3 linked regions of the Diceros bicornis minor genome follow. Each later gene encodes a partner of the first gene's protein in a complex. Links are inferred from orthologs where the notes say so. Each region holds a gene or a part of one and is shown on either strand. Other genes may lie near its edges.

Region 1 (9,318 bases):
TATTTTAAGGACCAAATGTACATAAAGTGATTTCCAAAACAATTGCCATACAAATGCAAGATGTTAACTTTTGACATCAACATCTTCAGATTTTAAAGGGATGTTTCTACTTATTTTTCTTTTTACATCTCTGCCACTCTTCCTATTTCCTAGATCCAAAGATCTGCCAGGACAGGGAAGCACCACTCCCCATCTATAGTCACATTTCAAACACAGTAGGCCCTCAGTAAATATTGTTGAAAAAGATGCTCATCCACATATAACAGAAATTTTAAAATTCTGCTATATGCAATACTTTACCTCGTAAGGTTAAACAGGAGGTTACTTCCAAATAAAAAAACAAGTGACATAACGTTCATTAAAGATGCCTGTGGTTTCGCCAGGAACACCGTCTTCCTTTGTGCACATTACTCAGCCTGGACCTGAATCTTCACCTATGTGAGTATCACCCAAGGAATGTGCTTCCGTATTCTGGTTTCACTGGAGACATTCTTTCTGCACAGAAAAGGACTTCCTCTCTCTTTAATACTAGCAAGATTTCTAAAGATGCCAGATTCGCTTCCGGTTTTACTTCCTATGCTTCAGTACTCACAAGGAGCACTTTTGGTGAATTTCTGGTCATTTCTCAAACCATTATGTCATTCTTATTCTACTAAATAAGAAAACAAGTTTATTTTTGAAAACCATAAATAAAAAGATTCTAATACTTATATTTTAAGATTATTAGCAGTCCACTAAATTTGTCATATAAAAGCATAACTGTTTTAAATGCAAAACATCCTGGTTCCTCTGAACATTATATAATGCCTCAAAAATGAAATTTAAGCTTATTTAACTTTACTTAGTTCTTGATTATCTACATACACAAAAGCAGATGTATTACAGATCATCCATTAACAATTTATATTAAGCCCTTGGATGATGGTTTTGTATTTACAGTTGAATATGAGTATCCTTGAGATGCAAAATTCCTAATAGATCAAATCAAATACCGAAACACCTGTAAAAGCAGTCACCCAACTCAGCCTTCCTATCATTTTCTGCTCATTTACCCAACTACATTCTACTGCTGAAATGACTCCTACTTTGTTACAAAGCATGGACTTTGTGTGCTCATTTTTGTCCTTTATATCTATTACAGCTCAAGGGATATTCCTGAAATAAACACAGGCCATAAAAAAAATTGTCCTAAAAGTAGAGATGACAATTTAATCATAATCTAAAAACAAGTCCCCCACCCCAGGATTTCAGAGTTAATTATGTAGTATCTAAAAGACAACTAGTGCATTTATGGGCAACAACCTATCTCATTTGAGGAAAATTTTAAAGTTCTATCTTAACTAGAAAGATTATACTATTCATTTTAGCTACAATGAAAACCAGTGTTACAGCCTAATTCTAGTTCCTATAAACCTACTAAACAGTGCACAATATGTATAACATTCTAGAATTTACACCAGAAATGATAAAGCAACATCATATCACCATTCAAGGCTGTCAACTTAAGAATGAAAAAAGACAGAGAAATCAAAATTCATTCCAGAACCATATTCACGGCCTATCTTATCCTCACTCCTGTGTGCCTTCTTCAAACCTCAAGTTACATTCTGGAACACAATACCAGTTCTGCAGGTTTACTGAACAGTCTACTAAATGAACTGAGATCAAGGCACCCTGGTCTGGTGGAAAGGACGGGGTCTCGTGGTCAGATGACTTGGGTGTGAATCCAGACTTTGTCCCTCTGGAGCTACATGACCTTGAGCAAATATTTAATTCTCAGAGCCTAAATTTCCTCATGTGTAAAAAGACAAGACCACCAGCTTTGATAATATTTTGTTGATCAAGTCCCTCAGTTAGTGTTCTGATTATGGCAGATGCCTGATAAATGGGTGACGATCTTATAATACTAAAGGGCCAGTTCACAAATTATTACGAAGTCTCTTCCTATGGGGCTCACAATTAAACTGTATGAGATTCATTAAAGTTGTAATATTTTTTTCAATCTTTTACTCAAAATATTTTAATATGTAGAAATGAAAATTTCACAGAGGTTAGAAATCTTTTTAGGGCCGGCCCCGTGGCTTAGCAGTTAAGTGCGCGCACTCCACTACTGGCTGCCCGGGTTCGGATCCCGGGCGCGCACCTACGCACCGCTTCTCCGCCCATGCTGAGGCCGCGTCCCACATACAGCAACTAGAAGGATGTGCAGCTATGGCATACAACTATCTACTGGGGCTATGGGGAGAAAAAAGGAGGAGGATTGGCAATAGATGTTAGCTCAGAGCTGGTCTTCCTCAGCAAAAAGAGAAGGATTAGCATGGATGTTAGCTCAGGGCTGATCCTCCTCACCAAAAAAAAAAAAGTTTAAAGAAATCTTTTTAAAACTGACATTTTACATATCAAAGATGGAGCTTCAATAATCAACAGACAATGAAAATTGCTTCATTTAAAAAAAAAAATGTTTAGGGTGTTTATATTTCTTCAAACCTCACGTGGTCAAAATTTTTAAACTTTCTAAAGAAAGCTGTATTTTAGAACCCAGAGACAGGCCAGTTATCTAAACAATGGGCTACATGATACACCACAGTCTCCAGACAAAGTCACAACAGGATGAGAAAAGAGCCTTCAGCCTCTCTCAGATTTCCTGGCCACTGTTATTTTAAAACCTGATCACATAAACATAAACAGAGAAAAAAATCTATTTCAGATGAGCCCCATGCGTTATGATTTATGATCTCTGTTTTTTATACCTTGCATTAATTTACATTAAATAGTGCAATAGCTCATTACATTTTTCTTGCTCATGTTTCCGGGCACTAATGAAGAATATACGTATATTATATATAGTTCTATATATTACATATTTAGAGTTTTGAATCATGATGATCTTAAAGTTGTTTATCACTTCTGTTACTGCCTTTTAAAACTAGTTTTTGAAATCAAAAATATAACAAAAAGCTGGGAGAACAATAGCATGTCACACAGAACATACAAATGCGACGGGCAAATCTGCCTACAACTAAAATGTGCATGTAATTCCTGCCCAACTGAAAATACTCAAAATGAACTGGATATTTAAAAGTCAATGAGTTATTCTGAACAGTTGCATTGTTTCAAGATCTGGCTATAGCCCAATTTGTGCTGTTTCTAAAATTAATGATAAAAGACACCAAGGTAATTTTTTCACTAAACAATTTCCAACTGGAAAACCACAGCCCAAGACATCTACGAAGTGGAGTTAATTTGTACAGAAATGCCATTTTGCTGCCAGCCTTTGTACCATGACCACTGCCAGCCCAAGTTCAAGAGTCACATTTTATGGTGTTAACAGCATGAGCTAAATCTTAAGAATATTCTTTTTTAAAACTCTCAAACCCTGACTACATTTAGATACACTGCATCTACACCACCAGAGCACAAGTGCAAATGAACCTTTTATTTAGCACGTACATCAGTCTATTAAGTTTGGGGCAGTCTTCCCAGTTCTTCACTAATATCTGTAGATTAGGATTTAAGCATTCCTCCACCGCAAACATCATGTCAGATAAAATGTAATGTGTTTTCTGAAATTGTATGAAAGTATTTCTGACACCCATGTTTTATAATAACCCTATCAAATTATTTCCTACTTAAAGTCCTAGAATTGGAGCTTTTAATCGTTTTAAAGAGTCTTTGGAAATTAACAAACATAAAACCTGTTGTTCAGTAGCAGATATATAAATTAGCATACTCAAAGTACTGGACCATCTAAAGACGACAAATGGAGCTTTAGGTAGTCCCAACCTGGTCCCCTACATGATTAAACTACTAGGTTAATGTGTGATCCGCACCTCCCAGAACAAACGGCACTACTGCTGCGCTGGATTTGAAGCTTGTTTACGAAAGAGAAAATAAAGCCACCACGGAGTGGCCCGGACAGAGCGGACACCAGAGCGCCCTGCTTCCACCCGGGAGCCAGCGCAGACACAAAGGTATCCCGGAGATGACAAGTCCCTGGACGCGGACGCCCATTGTCCTGCGGAAACGAGCAGCAGCCCGGCGCCGCCGCCGCCGCCGCCGCCGCCCTCACCTGCTCCCCACCCGCGTCCTCGGAGGAGCCCCGCGCCCCGGCCCGGGCGGCCGAGGAGCCCCCGACGCAGGGCGGGCGGCGGGGAACGAGGCCGACGCCCCCCGCGGGGCTCCGGACACTCACCGGGCGGACCACGAAGGCAGGTGTGCGGCGGAGGGCTACCTGTCGCCGGTGAGACTGGAGGGCGGGGCAGGAGGTGACGAGCGTGCGCGCAGAGGGCGACGAGGCGGACGCGCACAGGGACGGGCGGCGGCACGGACCAGGCAGAGCTCGCTTCCTGCTCGGACAGTCGCCGGGTCCGTCTCCGCCCGCCGGCCGGCGCCCCGCGGAGTCCCCGGGCCCGCGCACGTCACGGCTACGGAGCGCCTGAGGGGGCGGGGCGCGGGGGCGGGGCGATCGGGCGGAGGCGGGAGAGGGGCGGGGCGATGGAGGGTGGGAGGGCGTGGCGAGAGAGGGAGGGCGCGGCGAGAGAGGGAGGGCGCGGCGAGAGAGGGGAGGGCGGGACGGGGCGACTGGCCTGAGGAGGAGAGGGGCGGGGATACCGGGCGGAGAAGGGAGAGGGGCGCGGCGGGCGGGGGACGCTCCGCGTCTGGGCCCGCGGTCCCTGCCCCGGCCCCCCCGGCCAGCGCGCGGCGCGGAGCTCCCTCCTCGTTCCCGCCCCTGCGAAGCGGCGTGTTGGGCGGCTGTTGTGGTTTGCACCCCTGGGAGCCGGTCCTCTCCGGCCTGGGTGCGGTGACTGCAGTCCGGCTCCAGCGAGACTCGGCTCACGGAGGGAGGGTGGTCCGGGGAGGGGCGCGGACCGCGCGTGTTCCGAGGGCGGGCAGGGCCCCGGCAGGGGCTGGGCGGGGAAGAACCACGGCCCCGGGCGCGGCGGCTGCCGGGCTGCCCTCCGAAGGGGGTGACCTCCTGCGCGACAAACCTGCCAGTCTGCTTTGGGAGCAGGGGTCTGAGATGGGAGTTTTGCATTTCTTTGGCCTCCGTCCTGCCGCCGCCTTTACTTGTCAGAGCCCCGATCCTCTCTGTTGTTTATATTTTAGTGTTTTTATAAGTGACCTACCTGTGAGTCATATTTCAAAATTAAATGTGAAGAAGCTATGCAAAATTGAATTATGTGATAAAAACATACATTGCCTTTACGAAGAAAAGAAGCTTCTTTTAAGAAAATGAAATGGTGATTGACTATGATGCTCAACGTCTCCGCCGAAAAAAGTTCAAGTACCTATACCTGAGAATTACACTTTTTCCCGCAACATTTCTGAGTGCAACTAGGAAACTTCAGGAAATCTAGAAGATTCTGATGGGAGACAAGTTTCAGATATTCAGATGTTCCACAGTTCTTTTGGTGGAAAAGCTAAGTTATGATGAGATATTTTAGCATACAACTAAAACAATAAAATATTAAGAATAAAACAGGGAAGTAAGAAAGAGGAAGAGAAACCAAGAAAGGAACTAATTTACAGCAATCTCAGAAATTTAATTCCAGATTGCCCAGAGGTAAACCTTAAGTATATAAAACTAGATTTCAAAAGGAATTGCAAAAAAAAAAAAAAAGAGCGAGAAGGAGAGGATGATTTCAGTTCACGACTTTGACTTTTTTTTGGATTTAAGATTGAAAGGCTTTGGCAGAACGATAGAAGCCAGTACAGTTTATTGTGAGTGAGGACTTGTGGTTTTTCTCTCTCTCCTCTGCCCCCACTTCCAGGTCATTCCTGAGTCCCTTAGATTCTAGCTCCATATCTCTCCAGTGTATCGAATTCCTCTTCAGAGCCACTGCCGTCATCTTGCTTCAGGCCACCGTCATTTCAGGTCTTGCGTACTGCTTTAGCCACCGAACCAGTTTCCCAGGCGGCATCTTCTCCCTTCTAATCCAGTGTCTGCAATGCTACCAGGTTTATATTGTATAAAATAAAAGTCTGATTATGTACTCCTCTTTGAAGACTCCTGTAGTGGCCCTGACTACCCTTAGTATAAAATCCACACTCCTTAAAATGTCTTCTATGATCCTTGGACTGTGTCTGTTTGTCTAGCACAGTGGAGATCTCTTGCGTTTTTTCATTTAATTGAATTTGAATGCCTCCTCATTGTTCCCCAGTTCGTCACTGACTTAAACCCCATAAAGCTCTGTTAAACCAGGCTTCTTCACACAATGTTTCCTGCCTGTCTTTGGAATCACTTAACCATTTAGGACCACTGTCCTAGCCCGGCTTACCTGTCCAGTCTCATTTCTATCCATTGCCTTTCTCCATTTCTTCACTTTATGTTCAAGCAGTTCTGAAGTGCTTGGTGTCCAGAACAGACAGCTATGCTATTTATTACACTGGAGTGTTGCCAGCCTAAATCTAATTAATCCTTCAGAATAAAGCGTATTTGTCCCCTCCAAGTTTTTGCTAACCCCCTTATTCCAAAACCCAGGTGCAATTTGGTGCTCTTTCCCGTCTCTCTCTCAGCACCTATTGCACATCTCTCTTCCAACACTCATTTTACTATCGCTACTTTCATTTACTTACCTGTTTCCCCCAACCGGCCTGTAAACTCCTTGAGGGCAGAAAAGGGCCCTTGTTTGCCTTCGTGTCCCTAGTGTGGAGCCTGGTGGCTTTTACATGGTAGCTACTCATTAAACAGTGCCTATCATTATTATTGTTTTGTTTTGTGAGGAAGATCAGCCCTGAGCTAACATCCATTGCCAATCCTCCTCTTTTTGCTGAGGAAGACTGGCCCTGGGCTAACATCCATGCCCATCTTCCTCCACTTTATATGGGACGCCGCCAGAGCATGGCCCAACAAGCGGTGTGTCGGTGCGCGCCCGGGATCCGAACCCGTGAACCCTGGACTGCTGCAGCCGAGCGTGCGCACTTAACCACTTGCACCACCGGCCGGCCCCCTCATTATTATTGTTGTTGAATAACTGGGACAGATGGATGAACAAACAGCAAGGCAGTTGACAATCCTAGGAAATTGTGTATACTGTCATTAAGCATGGTGGAAGTAACTGTGTCATATTTGCTGCCAAAACTCATCTTAACAATTTATTCCATATTTATGTTTGTTAAGTGTTTCAACTTTGCTCTCACCATTAAATATTTGTAAGACTCTTCCCCAAGTCTCCTTGTACTACTTCAGAGATTCCTAAACTGAGATCCATGGATCCGCTATCATAGATGGAGGCTCAAAGTACTGCCTCTGAAACAATATGCAAGATTTTGTGATTTTGTTCCTTCATTTTTATGGGAATCAACGTCTTAGGTGTTTAAAGAGGCTCTGCACCGTCCCTGGCTGATATCCACTTTGACAGCTTCAACTGCATCAGTGTTGCAACTCCTAAGGTAAGGCAGACTGAACACCCCACAGAAACTCAGTCTCTTTCCACTCCCACTGCCTCAAATGATTCCTTTGCCAATAGACCCTGTTATAATTATGATACTACCAGTCACTGGTCTCAAAAAGTTGTGGATTTTAAGTTACACAGGACTCCTTCCCTTCCTCACCCCTGGTTTTGGAGTCAACTGAATTCAGTTCATTCTATGTCATAAATTCCTTGTAAGTTGATGTCTTTATCTCCATCCTCCCTTAGTGCAAGCCATCTTCTTTCATCTGCACTCTTGACATTCCCTCTGCTCATTCCAGTCTGTTCTCTCACCACTCCTAGAGAGTTACCCCTCCCCCAAATCCGATTCTGTCACCCCCTGTACCGACTCCTGGTGACGTTCAGATCCATTAACACCCATTTACATGGTGTACAGAGCCCTTAACAATCCTGAACCTGCCCTGTCATAGGAGTTCTAATGTGTCAAGCCCTTTCATGATGCTCCTTCCAATCTTCAAAACTCAGTCCATCATTTTCTCTGCCCTGACCCTGGCAGAATTAGTTTTTCTTTTCCCTGTTTTCCAGGGCACCCACTGTATATCTGTATTGTAGCACTTATTAAGTGGTTTTATGATAATATTTCTATATTTGTTTCCCCCCGTAACAACTCTCCAAAATATTGAGCTTTTTAATTAGAAAATCCACCCTATTATTTTTTTATCCCTAGAGACAAGCTCATTGCTTGCCTCACTGAATTAATAATAATGACAATGCTGAAATCTATTGAATGCTTACTATGTGCCAACACTGTGCTGAGCAGTTTACATAGACCATCCCATTAAATCTTCACAGCCCTAGGAGGTAATATGGTGAGCATTAGCTTTTTGCCTGCCTAGCTTCTGAACTCCCATCCTATTTGTGGAGAATCCTTAATTTTGAATCTTGGTGATTGCAAGGACTACCTCATAATTAGGAAACTGAGTTTGGCCAAAGTCCTTCTCCCCGTTATCTGGCAACTAGGGCATAGGAATGGCATGGGACCTAGGTTAAGTGAATTGGATGCTCTCACCTGAAACTTGGAATCTGGACAAAGTGAGGCAAAGATGCAGAGATGGAGAGAGAGTTCACAGTGGGGTAGGTATTGTGGCAACCAGAGTCTGGTCATGACAGTGCCAACAAAGACATCCTAAATGGATGGCCCTGCACATTTTACACACCTAGTTCTGCACCATCCCTAGTGAGTCTGTGAGCTACATGATATTCTTCCACTATATACATTCTTTCTCTGGATAAGTTAGGCAGGGTTTGTTTCTGTTGCCTTCAGCGAAGCACCCCAATTGATACAGAGAAGTTCTATCATTATCCCCACCTTACAAAAGAGGGATGAGTAGGTACTCAAGTATTTATTTAATGAATAAATAAATGAGATATTTACAACATTATAATTTCTAAAAGAAGTGTTGATCATTGCCTCAGTTATTAGCAGGTTTGTGCTAGTGGTAATCGTCTGGAATTTATAGGGAAATAAATTACAGGAAATAAGCAGGTTCCTAAAGAGATAGTCTTATGATTTTTTCCTTATGGTGTATCTTAGCCCATCCTCATACACCATCAACATCTGCATCTCCTGTACTTTATCATGAAAAAGTATTTAATGTAATCATTGTAAAATCCTAAATTGTTTCTTTAAAAAGATTGAATGATGTTTACCTACCTGAACTTACTCTAGAAAGAAAGTAGGCTAATATATTTTAGAAATATTTTTAATATAAAGGACTAAAATTAAAGCTGACATGTCACTTATCAATAGATACTTTAAAAAAAATTCCTTAACCAGATTACCACACATCTTATCATTCTCGCTTCTGGAAATTTTTAGAACTACAGTTTCTGTTAAACCCCCAGCTAGGTTTTCCTGAATTGTTCTGGCAGCATTATGATTAAA
Region 2 (9,765 bases), on another chromosome or scaffold:
CTGTCTAGAGAAAAGGAAGGACTTTTGAGTTAACCATATTCAACCTATTTTTTTGTGTGTGTGAGGAAGCTCAGCCCTGAGCTAACATCCATGCCAATCCTCCTCTTTTTGCTGAGGAAGACTGGCCCTGGGCTAACATCTGTGCCCATCTTCCTCCACTTTATGTGGGACGCCGCCACAGCATGGCCTGACAAGGGTTGCGTTGGTGTGCGCCCGGGATCCGAACCCAGGCCGCCGCAGCGGAGCGCACACACTTAACTGCTACACCACAGGGCCGGCCCCCATATTCAACCTATTAAGAGGGGAAATTTTTTGTTTTGTCTCCAATGATATTTTAAAAGTTTTACCATTATTCCTCTTGCTGGGAGAATGGGATGGGAAATGGGATCTCACTGGTGCACATTTTTTTTTTTTTTTTTTTTTTAAAGATTTTATTTATTCATTTTTTCCCCCCAAAGCCGCAGTAGATAGTTGTATGTCATAGGTTCACATCCTTCTAGTTGCTGTACGTGGGACTCGGCCTCGGGTTGGACGGAGAAGTGGTGCCTTGGGGCGTGCCCGGGATCCGAACCCAGGCCGCCAGCATCAGAGCGCGCGCACTTAACCGCTAAGCCACGGAGCCGGCCTCACTGGTGCACATTTTAATAAATTACTTCTGTTTCAAAATTAACTACTGAGATACTTACAACATACTATACTATGATGACCAATACTTTATACTTAACTCTTTTTAATCCAAATGCAAAACTTGCATTAATGTTGGTTATATGTATAAACATACTAATATATATATTTAGGGTTATAAAAATTTCTGAACTTTGATATAGCACATCAAAACACCTTATGTTTGGGGCCGGCCCCGTGGCGTAGCGGTTAAGTGCACGCGCTCTGCTGCTGGCGGCCTGGGTTTCAGATTCTGGGAGCGCACCGACACACCGCTTGTCAGGCCATGCTGTGGCGGCGTCCCACATAAAGTAGAGGGAGATGGGCACAGATGTTAGCCCAGGGCCCATCTTCCTCAGCAAAAAGAGGAGGATTGGCATGGATGTTAGCTCAGGGCTGATCTTCCTCACACAAAAAAAAAACACCTTATGTTTATATTATCTTGGAATTTTATCTTGCAAGTCAGTGCACTAGAAACTGAAAACGTTGAACATGGCTGCCAAGCTATTGCTGAGACACCCTGGAAAAACTTGGGAAGCAACACAGCAATATAACTTCAAGGAATTTGGAGTCAGAAAAAAACCTGGGTTTAAATCTAGGCTCTGCCACCTACTATGTGTAATTTTGAAAAATTTCTGAACCTCAAAGCCTCAGTTTCCTCTCTGTGAAGCAGGGATACTAATAATAATACTTCTCAGGGATTAAGGGGACTAAATAAAGTCATGCATCTTGAGCTCAGAATGTTATATATTATGATGAGGAAGACTGTTAATGCAAAGTAACTAAATCTGCAGTCCCTGGTTACAGGAGAGACATGTAAAATTGTCAGCTAAGTATAATAACAAGCTTACTCAGCTTAGAAACCAGAAGATCCAAGTTTAAATAACAGCCCAGCTTTTTTCTTGCTAGCTATGTGACCTTGGTCAAGGCCCAATGATTTTGTACTTCAGCCCCCTCATTTAACCATTAGGTACTAATAACATTAGTTACAATTTGTTAAGCACTGACCATACACCATGCACTCCGACGGGTTGACATATGAACTCTACTCTTTACAATAACCCTTCAAGGTAGATGTTCTTGTCTCTATTTCATAGATGGCTGAAACTGAGGGAAGTTAAACTTGCTCAAGGCCACACAGCTTGTAAGTGGTAAAACCCAGATCCACACCCAGGTTTATTGGTCTCCAAATCCTGTCCTTAGCTACCTGCCACCTACCTCTCCTAGAGAAAATCGAAAGACATGATTCCTGAGAAAGTGCTTATTGCACTGAAACATCTTACATAAAGGTGAAGTATTACGGTTACTACTCTATATCAACATAAATAATTCACAAAATGGGTTTGTGATTTGCCCCTCAGAGCCTGGGAACGCTGAAAGAACAAAAGGTTACACTTCAAGCTCTCTCTCATCTCCTCTTGGAATTTTGCCTTGACCTCAATTCCCCCCCAACAGACCTGATAAACAACATTCAAGAGCAGATACCCATGCTGCTCGCGCCGTGTCACTCAAAGGCAGCCCTCCGCGCTCCCTGGAGTCCAGGGCGGCAAGATCTGGTGATTTTCCTAGAAGTAGGGGCAAAACATTTTCTTGGGCTAACTTCTCGCACCTACACTTGCAGTTCGCTTGGGTAAGCATAAATAAAGTGGTCACATAAAGATCCGCATAGACTAGTGCTTTCGAAATCATGCCTCTATGGAACTCCAGTTCCAGGCACACATGCAGTCAATCTAATTAAAGCAAATTTCAGTCCCTTTTCAACGATATGGTGTAAAATTTAGAGCTGATTTCCCCTCTGAAAATTTTAACTAGTCCCACGTAGTTAAGTATAACTCTCTAAGTTATCCACCCTTGCAATATAGTAAGCTTCTTGGAAATACCAAAGTGTTGATGCCGGACATGACATATGAGGCGCAAAGTGGGCCTCGGTTTGGTATCACCTGGAAGGCACTTCCTTCCGGCCCCCTCCCCTTTGAATCTGGGAGATGCTCAGCGTGGCCCTCTCCTCCCTGCAGAGGAAGCCAGAGAGTGAAATCCAGATGAAGTGGAGGGTGTTAATTTGCCCAGACAGATCCGGACTCCGGGAAGGCGCTCACGCCGGAGCGGCTGAATCCAGGACTACTAAAGCGTACTTACTCGCATGAGGAAGAAAGGTCATCCCGGGTTTCCCAGAAGCCGGTCTCCGAGCGTGGGGACCGCGACTTTCTCCGGTCCCGGGACCTACCCTTCCCTTCCCTGTGAGGCCCTCTCGCTTCCCCTGGCGCTCCCGGCGGGCTTCACCCCGCACCCGACGGCGGGCTCAGCGAAGCGCGGCTCACCAGCCGGGGCAATGTCAGCGTGGGGGAGGGAGCGGGAGGCTGAGCCCCCGGCCCTTACCTCGGACGGCGAGATCTCAAATATGCCTGCGATCTTGGCGTAGAGCTCCTGGATGCTGGAGAAATCCTCCACTCGGCCCGTGGCGCTGCCGTGCGCCAGCTGCGTGTGGAAAACCAACCTGCGCGCGGGACCCGGGGGCTCCGGCGGGCCGCCGCCGCCGCCCGCGCCCTCCTGCTCCCCCTCCACCAGCCGGGCGGTCTCCTTGGACTTGGCTTTCTTCTTTCGCCGCAGCCCCAGGGGCATCTTGCCTGGCCGAGGGCGGGGGCCCACCTGTGCTGCCGTCGGCCGCCTCCTCGGCCCGGCGCGCGGACTTTGCGCCCCGGCCCCCGGGCTCCGCGCAGGTAAAGGGCGCGGCTGGGCCAATGGCAGAGGCGCTTCCGCCTTCCGCGCCGGGTCGGGGCCCCCTCCTCCACCCGAGGAGCGGCACCTGGACGTGGAGCAGCCGCCTGCCCTCTCCCCGGGTGGCTCTGGAGAGAAGAAAAGTTGGGCACGGTCCCTCATCTCATCTCCCGGCATCTCCCCGCTCCTTTTAAAAACGGCTCGATTTCCAAGCCCAGCCTTGGGATGCTGAAGCTACGGAAGAACACGTCCTAGAACACGCTGGCCCTTCTGGTGCTTTGCAAGAACGTGCAGTAGGCTCTCACACGCTATTGGGCCACACGCCTTGGTACGTCTAGGCCACTGGGGATAGGGATTTAAGTTGAAGTTAACCTGCATCTGCCTTCTCTGCACCTACATCCTGCCTCACACCAATCTCAAGGAAAAGCCTTGAGATTGGTGCCACATTAAATTAATAGTCAAACACCCTCAGCACCTCTCAGTAATCCTTTTCGCTTTTTCCTGGGCACCTTTCTCTCCCACTCAGCGTTCTCCTCAAGTCATTTGCCCCACCTCCGCCTTTCTTGGTCTCTGCGGAGAATTCTACCTCTTACCCTAGAGAGAAAATCGAGGCCATTTAGTGTGACGTGTGAGCTCCCTCAATTTCCCACCCCTTGTCTGTAACTCCACCCACCTCCCTTCTCCAAACTCGGAGGAAGTCTTTTCATTTGATTGGTCTGATCTCTTCGCTACTCCTCAAGGATCTCTATTTTTTAAGCTACCTGTTGACCCTTGTCCTTCCCCTCCCCACCTGGTGCCACTCACTGATCTCTTACATTGTTTTCCTCCATCCCTGCAGTCCCCTGTAGTCGCCTGTAGCTACATTTTCACAACAAAGCAAAACAGTCTTGAATTATTAGCTGCATTTCCTCACTTCCACCTTTGCTCTTAGACTCGCTGTGATCAGACTTTGTCCCCACACTCCACTGAAATTGCTCCCACACTCCACTGAAATTGCTCTCCTTATGCTCAGCACTTCATAATCACCAGATATGATTAAGTCTTTTCAGTCTTTATCTTACTCGACCTTTAAGAGAATCTGACAGCACTGACCATTTCATTCTTTTTGTGTGTGTATGTGAGGAAGATCAGCCCTGAGCTAACATCTATTGTCATTCCTCCTCCTTTTTTTTTCCCTTTTTCTCCCCAAAGCCCCAGTAGATAGTTGTATGTCATAGTTGCACATCTTTCTTAGTTGCTGTACGTGGGACGCCCCCTCAGCATGGCCGGACAAGCGGTGTGTCTGTGCATGCCTGGGATCCAGGCCAGTGCCGCCAGTAGCGGAGCACGTGCACTTAACCGCTAAGCCGCTGGGCCGGCCTCATGACCATTTCATTCTTAAATCAGCCTCTTGTTTGATTTCCTTACCTCTCTGCCTCTTTGCTAACTGCTACTCTCCAGGAACTGTGTTCTCCAACTGTGTTCTCCAAGGCTTGACCTTCTTCTCTCCTGACTCTGCATGCTCTCCCTGCAGGACCACATGTATTCTCTTGGGTTCAATAGTTGGTATTGGCCTCCAAATTTATATCTGCAGCTCAGTCTACCAGAAAGTAAACGTAGTGCAGGAAATGCAAAGTAAGCTTGTACAAAACTGAGCTCATCATTTCTCCTGAAAGAATCTTTTTTTTACTCCTGATGTCAGTGAATAGGATCATGTGCTCAGTGGCCCAGACCAGACATCTTTGAGTCATCATACCAAGCTTTTTCCTTTTCCCTCACCTTTCACATCAATTTCAGTCCTGAAAATCCATGTTTCTCAAATTAAGATTAGCAGATATACTGGGGCAGGGGAAGGGAGCCTGTTAATTTTCTAGGATAACTTTAAAATTTTTGTGTTTTATGTTTCTCTGAATTAAAATTTAATATAAACATATTCTGGTTCTTATGAATGACTCCCTAAAAATGGTATACTGCTACAGGATCTCGGGACTCGAATTTGCCTTTGTGTTTATGATTGCTACAGCACCAGATACCATTACTTTAATTATCTTGGGTTAATGAGCAAAGAGTAGAGAAAACCTAATAAGTAAATGATGCATTTCCATCAAGTGAAAACCATATGGCTTTACAATGCAGTGTTTGAATAAAAAGCTCCCTGAAGTTTTATTTAAGAAAAGTAGGAAAAGTGAGTCATCATAGGGTTCATGGCAGGTACATTATCAATATCTAAATAGTATGAGGGAACACAAGAGGGTATGAAATTAAGAAAAAATTCAGAGAAGAATGCCTTTGAGCTGTGTCAAATAAAATATGAAATAAACAGGGCAAAAGTATTGGCATGGGGTGGGAAGGTTGGATTGTATAACCTTTCAAGCTCCTTTAATTTTTAAATCTTTTTTTTTTTTTTGCCTATAAAGTTTCCCTCAAGACCTACATCAAGTTCACCTTTGCTGTAAAATCTCCCATAAGGAACCAGCTGTATCAGCCATAGTTACAGCAGGAAACAGATGATACAATCAGATTAAGAATATTTGGCGATGGTTTAGTAAAGGGACTGGGCAGGTGGTGGTCAGGGTATACTCATAACATATAGTGTAACCCACACATCTATGGATGGCTAATTTTCGACAGATGAGCCAAAAACATACAATGGAGAAAGGAAAGTCTTTTCAAGAAACGGTGTTGGGAAAACTGGGCAGCCACATGCAAAAGAATGAAAGTAGACCATTATCTTACACCATACACAAAAATTAACTCAAAATGGATTAAAGACTTGAATGTAAGACCTGAAACAATAAAACCCCTAGAAGAAAACATAGGCAGTACAGTATGCTCTTTGACATTGGTCTTAGTGGTGTCTTTTTGAATACCATGTCTCACCAGGCAAGGGAAACAAAAGAAAAAATAAACAAATTGGACTACATCAAACTAAAAAGCTTCTGCACAGCAAAAGAAACCATCAACAAAACAAAAAGACATCCTAACAATTGGGAGAAGATATTTGCAAACCATATATCTGATAAAGGGTTAATATCCAACATATATAAAGAACTCATACATAACTCAACAACAAAAAAACAAACAATCCAATTAAAAAATGAACAAAGGATCTGAACAGTTTTCCAAAGATATACAGATGGCCAACAAGCACATGAATAGATGTTCAACATCACTAATTATTAGGGAAATGCCAATCAAAACTACAATGAGATATCACCTCACACGCATCAGAATGGCTATAATTAACAAGACAAGAAATAACAAATGTTGGAGAGGATGTGGAGAAAAGAGAACCCTCATACCCTGCTGGTGGGAATGTAAACTGACGCAGTCATTACGGAAAACAGTATGGAGATCAAAAAGTTAAGAATAGGAACTGGCCCGGTGGTGTAGCGGTTGAATTTGCACGCTCCATATCGGGGGCCCAGGGTTTTCCAGTTGGGATCCTGGGCACGGACCTACTCACTGGTCATCAAGCCATGCTGAGGCGGTGTCCCACATAGAAGAGCTGCAAGTCTACAACTATGATACACAGCTGTGTACTGGGGCTTTGGGGAGAAAAAAGAGAAAGAGGAGGATTGGCAACAGATGTTAGTGCAGGGCCACTCTTCCTCAAAAAAAAAAAAAGAGCAAAGCCATACATTGCTCTTTCTAAAAAAAGAAAAAAATTAAGAATAGAACTACCATATGATCCAGCTATTCCATTTCTGGGTATTTATCCAAAGAACATGAAAACACGAAGTGGAAAAGATATTTGCATCTCTATGTGCATATCAGCATTATTCACAATAGCCAAGACTTGGAAAAAATGTTAAGTGCCCATCAATGGATGAATGGATAAAGAAGATGTGGTATATATACACAATGGAATATATACACTACTATATATACATATACACTACTCAACCGTAAAAAAAAAGATGAAAGCTTGGTATTTGTGACAACATGGATGGACCTTGAGAATATTATGCTAAGGGCAATAAGTCAGACGGAGAAAGTCAAATACCATATGGTTTCACTCACAAGAGGAATATAAAAACAACAACAACAACAACAAACAAACATATAGATATAGAGATTAGATTGGTGGTTACCAGAGGGGATGGGGGAGGGGGGAGGGCAAAAGGAGTAAAAGGGCATATGTGTATGGTGACTGATGGTAATTAGTCTTTGGGTGGTGAACATGATGTAGTCTACACAGATATCAAAATATAATGATGTACACGTGAAATTTATATAATGTTATAAACCAATGTTACAGCAATAAAAAAATTTTTTAAAATAACATATAGTATAGTACCCCATAGCTGTTTCTATCCCAAAGTCTAAAGAGATGAGGAATTAGAAAATTTTGAAGAGAGAATCATCTTAAGAGGAGCTGTCACATTTGCTTGAAGAAAACATCCAGCCAGAGGCATTCTAGAGACAAGGCAGCTGGGGAAATGGAAATGAAGAGCCTGACCCAAGACTACCCTTAGACCTGGGCAAAAGGAGCACCTGCTCCGGCCCTCCTTCAGTTGCACAAAACCCTACAAGGTATGGAATCTACAGGGTCAAGGGAGCATGGCCACTCAGAACCCATGCCCTCTCTTCTGCACTATGTTCTGGATACCCAGGATCCTGGATTTCCTTGCCCAGATGGCCCCAAGTCTGCTTCCAGAAACTGCATAGGCTTTCCAGGGTCCAGGCAGCCAGCACTGCTATGTGCACATCCCCAATGCCTGGGGGGGTCGCCAAGGAGCAGCTCTTTGCCACAGTAGGAGGGGTGGGGGTAGAATAGTAGAATAGAGCAGGGTAGAAAAAGAATGAGGTAGGCTGCAGGCAGAGACCTGTTTCTCCCCATGTCCCTACATTCCAGTGTGGACCTCTGATGAATTGGGGAACTCTAAATTTTAACTTGGCTTTTCACATCATTATTAAGATACAACAGGAGGATAGAATATATATCATTTGTCAGTTTGTTTTAAGCAATTAGTTTTCAATAATTGGGCTTCCGTGTGTACTCTTGCCCCAGGTCCCACAAATGTGCCTATTCTGACTTCATTCTCCTCCCTTCCTCAGATCATCTCCCCAGACTCAACACTGAACTAAATCAGATGCCAGAGGAAAGAGTCTCTGTTGATATGGCCCAGGCTGCAGATGCCTCCAGGAAACACTGAAAAAGGTGAAGATTGGATCTAGAAAGGTAAATGGATGCTAGCTAGCACACCAGCCCACCTAATTCCTCATTTCCCTGAATTCCTAATGCACATCTATTGTACTAGAAACAGTTCTTTACAACAGAGCTTTGTATTTGCATACATGCTGACTTTTCTCACATACAGTATATTGTCTACCTGACCACACAGTTCCTTGATGGTAGAAACCATGCTCCACACTCCACTTTGGTATCTTCTCCAGATTCTTACACAGTGTTATGTATGTAATAGATATCAGTAAATATGATTAGATAAAATTAATTGACCTTTGTTACTACCTAAGATAAATGAATTAACTACAATTAATCCAAGTATTAGTCTTCACTTTACATCTAGGCTTACAGTTCAACCCAGGTTATTTATCTACAGTATTTCCACTAAGTAACATTTGGTATTTCTAACAGCCTAAAAGTATCAACTATAAAGTTAAATATGAGTGAGTCATAAAAAAATTCTAGGATTAAATTAATATAACCTTATATGTCTGCCAAAGCAATAATAATAACTTGTTTATCAGAAAACACATAGTCATCAAATGAATCATAAGATACTAACTTGTTTTTCCCAGCAAATGTGGCCTCTAATTACAACATGTAACATTAGGAGTTATGAAAAAACACACAATGCCCCCCAACACACCCTTCCCCTCCCCAGCCTCAGTTATATATAACATGTATCCAGTAAGCAAGAACTTGGGAGAAAATAAACACAGGATTTGTTAAACCATATGTAGTTTTCCCTGGAACTAAAGATAGCATGTTTTATAGTTGCATAGCAACAATGAACAACTGAAGATAACAAGTGGGCAAGGAGATAACCTTTATTTAGCTAAAATTCAAATAAATTTTTCTAGGAATAATTGGAACTAGAGAACTGGAAAATGGAAATAAAAAGGAGATGAAGTGATATAGCGGGAAGAATCAAGTTAATAATCAATAATAATAAGTAAATGTTCACTGAGCACCTACTGTGTGTCTGGCTTCGTGCTCAGCATTTTACATGCGTTAACTCATCCATGGATACTTGGAGGAAACCCTCTGGCATGGAGACCAAATTACTCTCCATCTCTGAGGTTATGATAAATAAAACAGTAAAGAAGCAAGAACAGATGTGAAGAGTAAGCTAATTTAACTTAAGTTCTTACACAATAACATAAATATGGAATTGGTGTGTGGGATTTAGAAAGTAGCCACATTCAGGGCCAGCCCCG
Region 3 (10,198 bases), on another chromosome or scaffold:
TAGACTTCTCATGTTCCCCAACCATCTGAAGTCAAGCAGACCAGGATCTGAATGCCAGCTGAGCCATGCATATACTAGTTTGCTCCCTCAGGAACACTGCTTAACTTCCACGACATTCAGTTCTCACCTGAAACAGGATGACACTACCACTCAGCCTGCAGTTACTGCATGGATCTGAAAGTGTGGAGAGTACCTGGCATACTGTAAATGTGCAGTAGTGCTAAATATCATGCGTGAGATTACCCTGAACTTCTATCACTGCTGCCAAAAAAATTTCTCTCTCCCTCCAGAAAGCCTTCAATTCCTCTACCCCTCTTCCTTCTCCTCCAAGAAAGGACTTGTCAGAAACATAAATAATGCCTCAATGCTATCCTTTCAGAGGAGCTCCTTAACTGCCTCTCATTCTCCTCCCTCCTCAGCCCTCATGACTGAGGGCTTTTCAACAGCTCTAGACTTACGCTGCCTCTTTCCTGACCACTTGTTCTTCCTCAACACCCTTAGAGCCAATTTACCCAGCTGTTACCCCCCCAGCTCTAAACTTAGGTCTCTTCTCTGATTCTCTTAACCACGAAGGGAGTCATCCATGACTCAGGCCTAACCCCTCTGGTTTTGCCTGCCCCCATGCTCCATGGGAGTTTAGATTATGTTCCTCTCTCCTCAATCTCTGTTAGAGCCTCCTGCCTATATACCTCAGTATAATAACAAAGATACAGAGCTCCCTCCTAAAATCTGTTTCCTCAGTACACCCCAAAGCCTAGAGGCTTTGTAACACCTTTCTCTCCCTACTTCCAAGGAAAAACAGTAGCCAGGAACTGTGTGTAGTAATAATAATAATAATATTAAAGGTACTGTAAGCACTTTACAGGTGCACTCTAACATAATCCTGGCAACCCTACGTGGTACGTACGTACCCCTTTTACAGAGGAGAAAATTGAGGCAAGGCAGCAGTGATGGTCATTTAAGTTGCCTGAGACAACAAAGGTAAACTCACACTCAAGCAGTCTAGGACACCACAGAATCTTAACCACTAGAGTGCCTCTTAAAAAAAGAAAAGTGTCCAACTAGATCTCTAATCCCCAAAGGAAGTGCTGACCACAGCATTACTTTTTTTTCCGACCACTGCACTATTACCAACCTCAACTACACTGTCAGAGATCGGGCTTTAAGTCACTAAACGCTTAGTTCACTAAGCAAGTCCTTCCTAGGAACTAAGTCAGCAATCATCCCTTCCTTCCCTTTGCCGAAAGCTTGCTGCACAAGGGACCTGTGTGTCCAACTCTATTCTCTCCCTCTCACCTCCCCAAGCTGCCCATCACCAAGATGTGCAGGTTTTATACATGGCCCTTGGACCTGACATTTTTGGCCATTTCTTTTTATCTACTATGTGCCAGACACTCTGCTAGGCATTGGAGATACAACAGAGAGCAAGAGTAACATGTCTTTGAATCAGGAAAATCTTCTAACTATACATCCTGATTCTCCCAACTCTGTCCTACCCAGGACAGCCACAAGCACCTTTTAGAAATGACAATCTCGGGCCCGCCCCGTGGCTTAGCGGTTAAGTGCGCGTGCTCCGCCGCTGGCGGCCCGGGTTCGGATCCCGGGTGCACCCCAACGCACTGCTTGTCCGGCCATGCTGAGGCCGCGTCCCACATACAGCAACTAGAAGGATGCGCAGCTATGACATACAACTATCTACTGGGGCTTTGAGGGAAAAAAAGGAGGAGGATTGGCAATAGATGTTAGCTCAGAGCCAGTCTTCCTCAGCAAAAAGAGGAGGATTAGCATGGATGTTAACTCAGGGCTGATCTTCCTCACATACACAAAAATAAAAAGGACAATCTGTTATTCAACTACACCCCTGCAAAAACAAACAGAATATGGTTCAGTCTAAGGGTGGGGAGACTTGGGGCTCAGCTACTGTCCTTTTCTATTAAGTTATTTCTCTGTAGGACTCAGTTTTCTCTTCTATTAAATGAAGGGGGCAAACTAAGGATCTAGAAAGTAAATTTTGTCATTCTCAGCCAAATGTTAAAGACCACTCAACAAGAAAAAAACCCCAATCACTTAAAGCCAACTTCATCCCCCAGCCACAACTCAGTTCAATCCAATCTGCTTGCTATAAATTACACTTTCAAGCACATAACATGGTCTCATGTAAATTCTTACTGGGTGATCGATTTGCTTAGGAGGCAGCATGAGGTAACATAAAAACTCAGAGGCTGCAAACTAGTAGTCTCCCCATCCCCACTCCCAAAAAAGGTTCTGCTTGGGGCCAGCCCAGTGGCATGCTGGTTAGGTTCAGTGTGCTCCGCTTCTGTGGCCCAGGTTTGTGGGTTCGGACCCAGGGCGCAGACCTATACCACTCATCAAGCCCTGCCGTTGCGGTGACTCACATACAAACTAGAGGAAGACTGGCAACAGATGTTAGCTCACGGCCAATCTTACTCACCAAAAAAGAAAAAGAAAAAAAAAAAAGGTTCTGCTTGGTTGGCATAGTAATTTGAGACTTCTGACTCGGAACGCTTTTCTTAAGGGCACTACTCTAGAGCACCAGAGCCTGGGTCTCCAACACTTTTTATTGTCTCACACCCAGGCCCTTAATGTTTGGCCCTCCCATCTGCCCCACCAGTATCCTATTCTCCTTTAACTGCATTTAAGTGCATGAAAAGCCACATCTCATTTCTTCTAGCTAATTTCCTACTTCCCTATATTACCAACAGCGTTTCTTCCATTCATACTTTCCTCCAACCACCACAATCCTAAGCATCACCCACATGCAAGGCATTCAAAGGTCAAACTGGCATCCTACTGCGTTTTCTTTCCCCTTGAGTTTTTCTGGGAAAAGGCCACATACTACACTCTTTGTTCACCTCTTGAAAGATTGATCCAGGCTAATCTTAGGTCTGCTTAGGCAGCAGTGCCTAACAAAGCTGTTCCTAAAGGAAGCAGAGCTCCACATGTCCTAGCGGTACTACGTTTGACAAATGGCAAAACTCTTATCCCTCTTTGGCGGCAGTGTCTTTCTCCAGCGCTAGATCATCTTTTTTGAGTTTCCTATTCACTCCTCTTCCTAGACACCTTAAGTACTTAAACGCTGAACTGCAATGCCATTTTTGATTGTATGCCTCAAAAACGATACTATTCTTATTTTTTCTGCCCTCCTTTCCCAATAACTGGTTCCGTGCTGGGCTCCGAGTTGCCTGTAAGTCTGGCCAAACTGCGCCAACGCGGCTGCTTCAGAGGCCAGGCTCAAGGCACAGCAAGCGCTCAACGAAAAGTTCCTGAACTGAACGGGCTTCTCCGGGCGCTCAGCCCGGCACGCCGTTTTCCTCGCCGCCCGCGCCGGGGCTGCCGCGGGACGGAGCGGGGTCTCGTTTCCTCTCGGCCCTCCTGCTCAACCGCCCGCTTCACCCAGAAGGAGCTGCACCGAGCTCTCAGACCCACTGCGGCCGAGTCTCCAGGCCAGGCCTCCCGTCCGAACGCGCCCGCCGTCTCACCCGGACACCCTGGCGGCTCGCCGTGCGGCTGGGGCCCGGGGGCGCCGCCGTCCAGGATGGCGAAGGCCTCGTCGTTCTCGATGCCCGCAATCTCGCTCTCCTGCTGCGCCAAGAAGGCCGCGGCCGGGTCTTCTTCGCCGGCGCCGGCCACCCCGTTCCCCAGCGCGGGGGCGCCGAACGGATCTAGCTCAGCCATGGCGCGCAGTTCAACGGCACGGGCACCGACGCTGAAACGAGCCAACCGACACCACGCCCGGCAGCGGCCGCTGTGGTGGCGACTGCGACTGGAGGGCAAGCGGGAGGAGGGAGGTAGCGGAAACGGAAACCCTGTCCCTATATCCGGCCGGTCTAGGCGGTTTGGGAGAGCCGAAAAGGCCACAGCCAATCAGAAGACAGCAATGGTTCAACAGCTACCCAATCAGCAGGAGGGGCCGGGCCCCCCAGGACAACTCGTGACTCGCGCAGTGGCGGAGGTGAGGGCCGCGCGCCCCTGGGGCGAGGGGAGGCGGAAGTGGGGCTTGAGTTAAAGCGTCCTTGCCCGCCTGGTGTCGGGGGCGGGCTGAGCCGGGCCGGCTCCTCTGAGGGGCCTCTGGGGCTGAACCGGCAGGTGAGGTGAAGTTAGGGCGGCAGTGATTGGCCGATTGCAGAAGAGTCAAGCTCGTTAGCCTTTCTGAACTTCAGCTTCCTCTTTCGTCAAATGGGAACGAGAATCCTGCGCTGCCAGGATGGTTGGGAAAGCTGAACTTGTACGGCTCTGTACTGGCTTTGCAAAAGACTTTCTGTATTTGTTAACTCATTCACCCAGCCTAGATTATTTTTTCCTTTAGAGCCCCCTGACTCAAATGTAATTGAAACCACTCTGATTTTTCTCCCCCATAGTATTTTTATAAAAAGGCGAATATAGCTCTGTTACAAAGCCCTTTTGCAGCCAGTATGTTTTTCAGACCTAGACAGAAGTTTCTAGGACTGGAGAATTCATCAGGGATCCCGGGTTCATAGGGAAACTGAGACCCCTGTGTGGAAAGGGATCAATCACACAGGGAGTCAGTGGCTGCGAGGAAACCCAGGTCTCCTGGGCAGCTCCATAATGTACTAGCCCCAACCTGTTGTATATGTATGCACCTCTCCCAGCTAAGGACAGCAGGAACTTTCTTTAGAAATAAAGTTCTTTCAGTATTTCTTTTAAATCCCGGAACTGTTAATAACATGGCTAGATAATTTTGTCTGCACTATAGAAATGGTAATAGAGTGATTCCAGTTAATCATGTTCATGTTGAGGATGGGGGAGCTTCTGCAATGGCTAACAGAAGGACCTTTCTCCTTTACCAGCACCACCCTAAAAAGTAAAAAGTCAAAAATAGAAACAAACTAACCAAAAAACCAGCCAGAGGTCAAAGATGCCTCCAGAGGCAGTCAACAAGGAACAAGAAAGTGGTTTCTAAAAACATACATGTATCTTTGGTGACAAAAAAGGGTAATGGTTTCCTTAAAGCATGCGTTTACTTTTAAAGCCATTTTAAGTGTGGAATGTAGGAAAGTCTTGAAGAAAAACATTTAATAAACTTAAAATTTTAGAACCTGTAACTGTCTCAGTCTTCCCCTCCCTCTTCTTGTTTAATGCTCACCCCTAACATAAATAGGTAACAACGCATGAAGTAGTTTCACGTTCATCTCCTTGAAACATTCTACCCTGCCCCTGTGAGAAGGATAAGTGTCAAGGACTACCATGTGAGGGTCCAAGGAAGACAACTTTTGGTTGCTTACAACAGTAGTAGCTAAGGGACAGACAGCATTCTCTCCAGGGTAAGTGCATGATTCTGGGGAAGCTGGCCTGAGAGTCACTTGCTACAGGAGGCATCACATCTCATCATGCAAAATTAATAAATATTTATACACTCAGAATTGGGAAAATCAGCTGAGGTGCTTAGGGAAGACTTCACAGAGGGGGCGGCTTGGAGCTCCATTATGGAATATGGGTAAGATTTAGAAGAATCAATAATGGTGGCCTCGTATTACTGTTGGGCAAAGATTCAGAGCTGGGCGTGTTTGAGGGACAGAGAGTAAATTAGTTTGGCTGGACCTGAAAGGGCTTAAGAAGAGAATAATTGAAGGTAAATCTAGAGACATATGCTGGGGTCAAGAATGCAGTCCATGCTAAGGAGACTTATTAGTGATAGGGAACCATGGAAGGTTTCAGAAAAAGGAATGATTTTTTTTTTTTTTTTGTGAGGAAGATCAGACCTGAGCTAACATCCATGCTAATCCTCCTCTTTTTGCTGAGGAAGACCGGCTCTGAGCTAACATCTATTGCCAATCCTCCTCCTTTTTTTTCCCCCAAAACCCCAGCAGATAGTTGTATGTCATAGTTGCACATCCCTCTAGTTGCTGTATGTGGGACTTGGCCTCCGCATGGCAGGAGAAGCAGTGCGGTGGTGCGCACCCGGGATCCGAACCCGGGCCGCCAGTAGCGGGGCGTGCGCACTTAACCGCTAAGCCACGGGGCTGGCCCTGAGAAAGGAATGATTTTGACCAACGTGCTGCTTAAGAGATTAATCTAGCCCCTGTGTGCAGGATGGAGGGGAGCAGAAGCTGTGGGCAGAGAATTTGAGGAATGGCATGATGAAGGTCTAGGCAGGGGAGTGGTGTGGAGCTGGATGAGGAGCATTTATGGGAAAGTGGGTCTCAACAGAGAAGTGACTGACTTCATGACTGACAGGTAGGGACTGGGAGAGATGCGGGGAAAAAAGATGAGATCATAAATCATGAGTTGGTGAAATTGCTGAAGCCACTAGTTTATGGGCTCTGGGAAAGCTCAGGTGATTGCCAGGAGTCATAGAATATTTAGGAGATGTCCAAGAAGTAGCTAGAAGTATGTGCAAGCAGGAGAGCTGCTGGCCTGAAATGGGAGCAATGGAGAGAGGGAAGTACTGGGTGACATAGTTGAGAAGAGCCCTCGGTTCTAGGGGGAGGCAGAGACTAGACCTGTGCAGGATCCTACCTGAGCATTTTGCCAGAGCCAGACCAAGGGTCACACAATGATTTTTGAAGGGTCTTGAGTGAGGGATTAAGACAGATCCCACCGTCTAAAGCGGAAAAGGATCTGATCCAGAAGGAGGTCGGTAAGAAATGCATACAAATTACTATAAGATAGATGGTGATGTGGAGTGGGGGTACGGAGAGTGCAGTGAGCAAGCAAAGAACTGTAAAGACAGAAAGAAGGCGAGTCATGTTTGGTTGAGAAGTCCTGGAAAAGTTTCATACAGGAGATTAAGTCCTTTCTGAGTGTCTATATGTCCCACTAGACCTTTATGTGAGGGCAAGGACTATGCCTGCCTTGTTCACCTTCGTATTCTCAGGCTCTGGCATTATGCCTGGCACATAGCACGTGCTCAAAAAATATTTATTGGTGGAATGAATGGAGTAGATTTTGAGACGCATCTCAGAGGAGAAGGGTTGTGAGAGATATGGCATGGAGGGGAAGAGAGGCAGAGGGTGGTGCTGTACTCTGAGATGTGATTTGGCTAGATGATGGAAAGATTAGGAAAGTACGTGGATACAGCTGAAGAAAGTTGGAGTCAAATCATAGAGGGCCTGAGTGCCCAGGTGAAGATTATCCCTTAATTGCTGAGGCTGTGAGGAGACTTTGAAGGACTTGAAGCAGGCAATGACTTGGTCAGAACTCTTCTGGCAGCTCAGGCACTGTAAGAATAGGAAAGGATTCTGAAAGCAGGGAAGACAGTTAGGAAAGACACTGCTGCAGTGATCCAACAGGGAGATGAGGAGAGCTAAAGATGATACTCTAGGGAACAGAGCAGTGGACTCACGTGGAAAGAAAATAATGGAGGCAATGTACACAGTACTTGGTAAGTGATAGCATCTAGGAGGCAGAGAGAGAGGAAATTCACACATAATATTTATAGGTAGGAAAACTATGAACAGAAATAGCCACAACAGGGGCTTGCCTGGTGGCCCAGTGGTTAAGTTTAGCACGCTCACCTTCAGTGGCCAAGGTTCAGTTCCCAGGCGTGGACCTACACTGCTCATTGGTGGCCATGCTGTGGCAGTGACCTACATACAAAACAGAGGAAGATTGGCAGAAAACTGAGCTAAACAGATATTAGCTCAGGGCAAATCTTCCTCAGGAAAGGAAAAGAAATACGCACCACAGGCAAAGCCAGCTGAGTGGGAGGGGTCAGGAGACGAGACAAATGTAGAGTTCAGTGTGGAAATATTGAGCACAAGAGACATGTGGGATATTCAGGAGACGTTCAACAGGATACTGGAAATCCAAGTCTGAAGTTCAGGGGAGAGGAATGGTGGTGGGCAAAGTGTTTAGGGCCAACTCTTCTGCTGAAAACAACTGGAAGGGCTGGGCAAAAAGTTTAAAAGATCTCTTTGAAGGTATCAGAGGACTACCAAAGCAGTGAGGAACTGTGGGCCCCAGTTCTAGGAGAGGAGGGAGGCCAAGAAAAGTGAGCCTAACATTTGGAACCATGTTTCCTCTCAAGGAGATTGTTAGTTCTGAAAACAGAGACTGAGAAGCTGAGTAGAGCTTCAGTGAACAGGGTTGGGGAGATCAAACAGTTGAGGGCCTACCAAGAAGGAGGGGTCCTGATAAATGTACCAGGCTTTTTGTGGGGACCCTGTGGGATACACACTAGGAATAAAGGTGAAAGACTAAAGCCCAGCTTTGAGTCATAAAAATCCTTGGTTGAATTAAAGTGGTCCAGGATTTCTGGGGCCCTTAGCCTAGGCTGCCCACCAAAAGCAAAAGTAAATTCTCTGACAGAAAAAATTTCATCCAAAAATAACTAAACATATAAAGACAAAACATGCTAAGAGACATTTTCAGGGACAGACATACAACAGAAATTCCAGGGGATTCAGAAAATGGAGTTATCAGACCTAGACATTAAAATAGCTATGATTAACGAGTTCAAGGAATTAAAAGAAAATACTGAGAATTTCAGCAGTTTGAAAGTTTGAGAACTGAAATTTAGAGTATCTGATATTAAGAATTTAGTAGATAAATTTAATAGTGGGTTAGACATAGATGAAAAGAGAATAAGTGAACCAGAAGATAGAGCAGAAAAATATCCAGGCTGAAACCCAGAATCAAAAGGATGAAAACACGGAAAAGAGCATAAAAAACATATGGGATATGAGGAATAGGATTTATAAACATGTAATTTTTAGCTAGAAAGAGAGAAGAGAGAGAATGGAGCAATGTGAGAAGAGAAAATGGCTAACAGTTTCCCAAAATTGATGAAGAAACCAAGCCACAGATTCAAGAATCACCATGAACTCCAAGGAAGATAAAAATACCCTCCCTAAAAGAATTTTTAAAAATCCACATCTCTGGGCCGGCCCCATGGCTTAGTGGTTAAGAGCGCGCGCTCCGCTACTGGCAGCCTGGGTTCGGATCCCGGGAGCGCACCGATGCACCACTTCTCCGGCCATGCAGAGGCCGCGTCCCACATATAGCAACTAGAAGGATGTGCGACTATGACGTACGACTATCTACTGGAGCTTTGGGGGAAAAAAAATTTAAAAAAATCCACATCTCGTGTGCATTTTAAATTGACATCTAAATTTTTTCATAATTACTTAATTTGTTGCAATGGATGTACTTTCTAATATACTGTAAACATTGATTCTTTGAAATAAAATTGTTCCATTGCTTTTTAAAATGTATCCAATGGCATCTAGATACCATAGTGGTTTGATATTCACCATTATCCATTCAAAAAATATATGACAAAGTTTTTCATTAAAATTAAGAAATTTCAGATTCTTGCTTTTGCTCCAGGAACACATACTACCATTCAAACACCTACTCTTAAGTTCTAGCCTATTAGAATTTTTTTGTGCTTTAAAGACTTTCGTTTATCAACTTGTCATACTTCTTTATAACAAAAATATGTAATATAAATATAATGGACTTTTAAAAAATATCCCATGACCGTAAGGCTCTGAATGTTAAAATTTTGTTTTGTATTGACATCATTATAATTATTAGTAGTATATATTTAATTAAAGCAACAAATTATACCAGAAATTTCATAAATAATTATTAAATATAAAAAGTACAATTTTGTTGGAAATTCCTGTCTTAAAGAGGTAGATGGGTTTGTATTATCTATTGCTGTGTAATAAATTATCATAGAACGTAGCACTTAAAATACCAAACATTTATTATTTCACACAGTTTCTGAAGGTCAGGAATCTGGGAGGGCTTCACTGGGTGGTTGTGACCCAGGATCTCTCATGAGGCTGCAGTCAAGCTACTGGCAGGGGCTACAGCCATTGAAAGCTTGACAGGGGCAGGGTAATCCACTTTCAAGGTCACTCACATGGCTGCTGGCAGGAGGCCTCAATTCCTTGCCACATGGGATTTTCCAAAAGATTGTTCAAGACACAGAAGTTGGCGTCCTCCAGAGTGAGTAATCCAAGAAAGAAAGAATGACCAAGACACAGGCATCGTATCTAACAACTATATTGAGATACAATTCAGATACCTTACAATTCACCCATTGAAAGTGTACAGTTCAATGGCTTTTAGTATATTCACAGAGTTGTGCATCCATTTCCACTATCAGTTTTAGAACATTTTCATCATTACCCCTGAAATAAACTTTGCACCTTTAGTCACCATTCCTCAATCCTCTCAACTGTCCCACCTCCAGGAAACCACTAAT

The links. The genes of interacting proteins can lie anywhere in the genome.
Region 2: the proteins of MYO6 (region 1) and GIPC2 are in contact, whole or in part, in a crystal structure (PDB 5V6H), measured with the Mus musculus proteins. The link is inferred for Diceros bicornis minor from reciprocal best matches to the Homo sapiens genes MYO6 and GIPC2. Residues at the interface, in NP_001034635.2 of Mus musculus: Ser1055, Lys1056, Trp1057, Lys1058, Tyr1059, Arg1084, Arg1085, Leu1086, Val1088, Tyr1089, Trp1092, Lys1093, Asn1096; in NP_058563.1 of Mus musculus: Glu255, Leu256, Tyr257, Met258, Gly259, Ile260, Asp262, Asp264, Leu265, Thr268, Thr289, Leu290, Asp292, Phe293, Ala294, Pro296.
Region 3: the proteins of MYO6 (region 1) and CLTA are in contact, whole or in part, in an NMR structure (PDB 6E5N), measured with the Homo sapiens proteins. The link is inferred for Diceros bicornis minor from reciprocal best matches to the Homo sapiens genes MYO6 and CLTA. Residues at the interface, in NP_001355794.1 of Homo sapiens: Met1053, Thr1054, Pro1055, Met1058, Ala1059, Met1062, Ser1087, Trp1089, Lys1090, Tyr1091, Glu1113, Arg1117, Leu1118, Val1120, Tyr1121, Trp1124, Asn1128; in NP_009027.1 of Homo sapiens: Glu47, Asn48, Glu50, Ala51, Phe52, Ile54, Leu55, Asp56, Gly57, Gly58, Ala59, Pro60, Gly61.

Annotation. Positions count from the first base shown.
Region 1 is NC_080762.1:54,977,682-54,986,999, forward strand, and holds the start of MYO6 (unconventional myosin-VI), read right to left. Parts: upstream 4,353-9,318; 5' UTR 4,193-4,352; intron 1-4,192. UniProt on the Homo sapiens protein: Myosins are actin-based motor molecules with ATPase activity. Unconventional myosins serve in intracellular movements. Myosin 6 is a reverse-direction motor protein that moves towards the minus-end of actin filaments.
Region 2 is NC_080743.1:15,402,688-15,412,452, reverse strand, and holds the start of GIPC2 (PDZ domain-containing protein GIPC2), read right to left. Parts: upstream 3,790-9,765; 5' UTR 3,556-3,789; coding exon 3,040-3,555; intron 1-3,039.
Region 3 is NC_080767.1:4,652,670-4,662,867, reverse strand, and holds the start of CLTA (clathrin light chain A), read right to left. Parts: upstream 3,790-10,198; 5' UTR 3,697-3,789; coding exon 3,501-3,696; intron 1-3,500. UniProt on the Homo sapiens protein: Clathrin is the major protein of the polyhedral coat of coated pits and vesicles.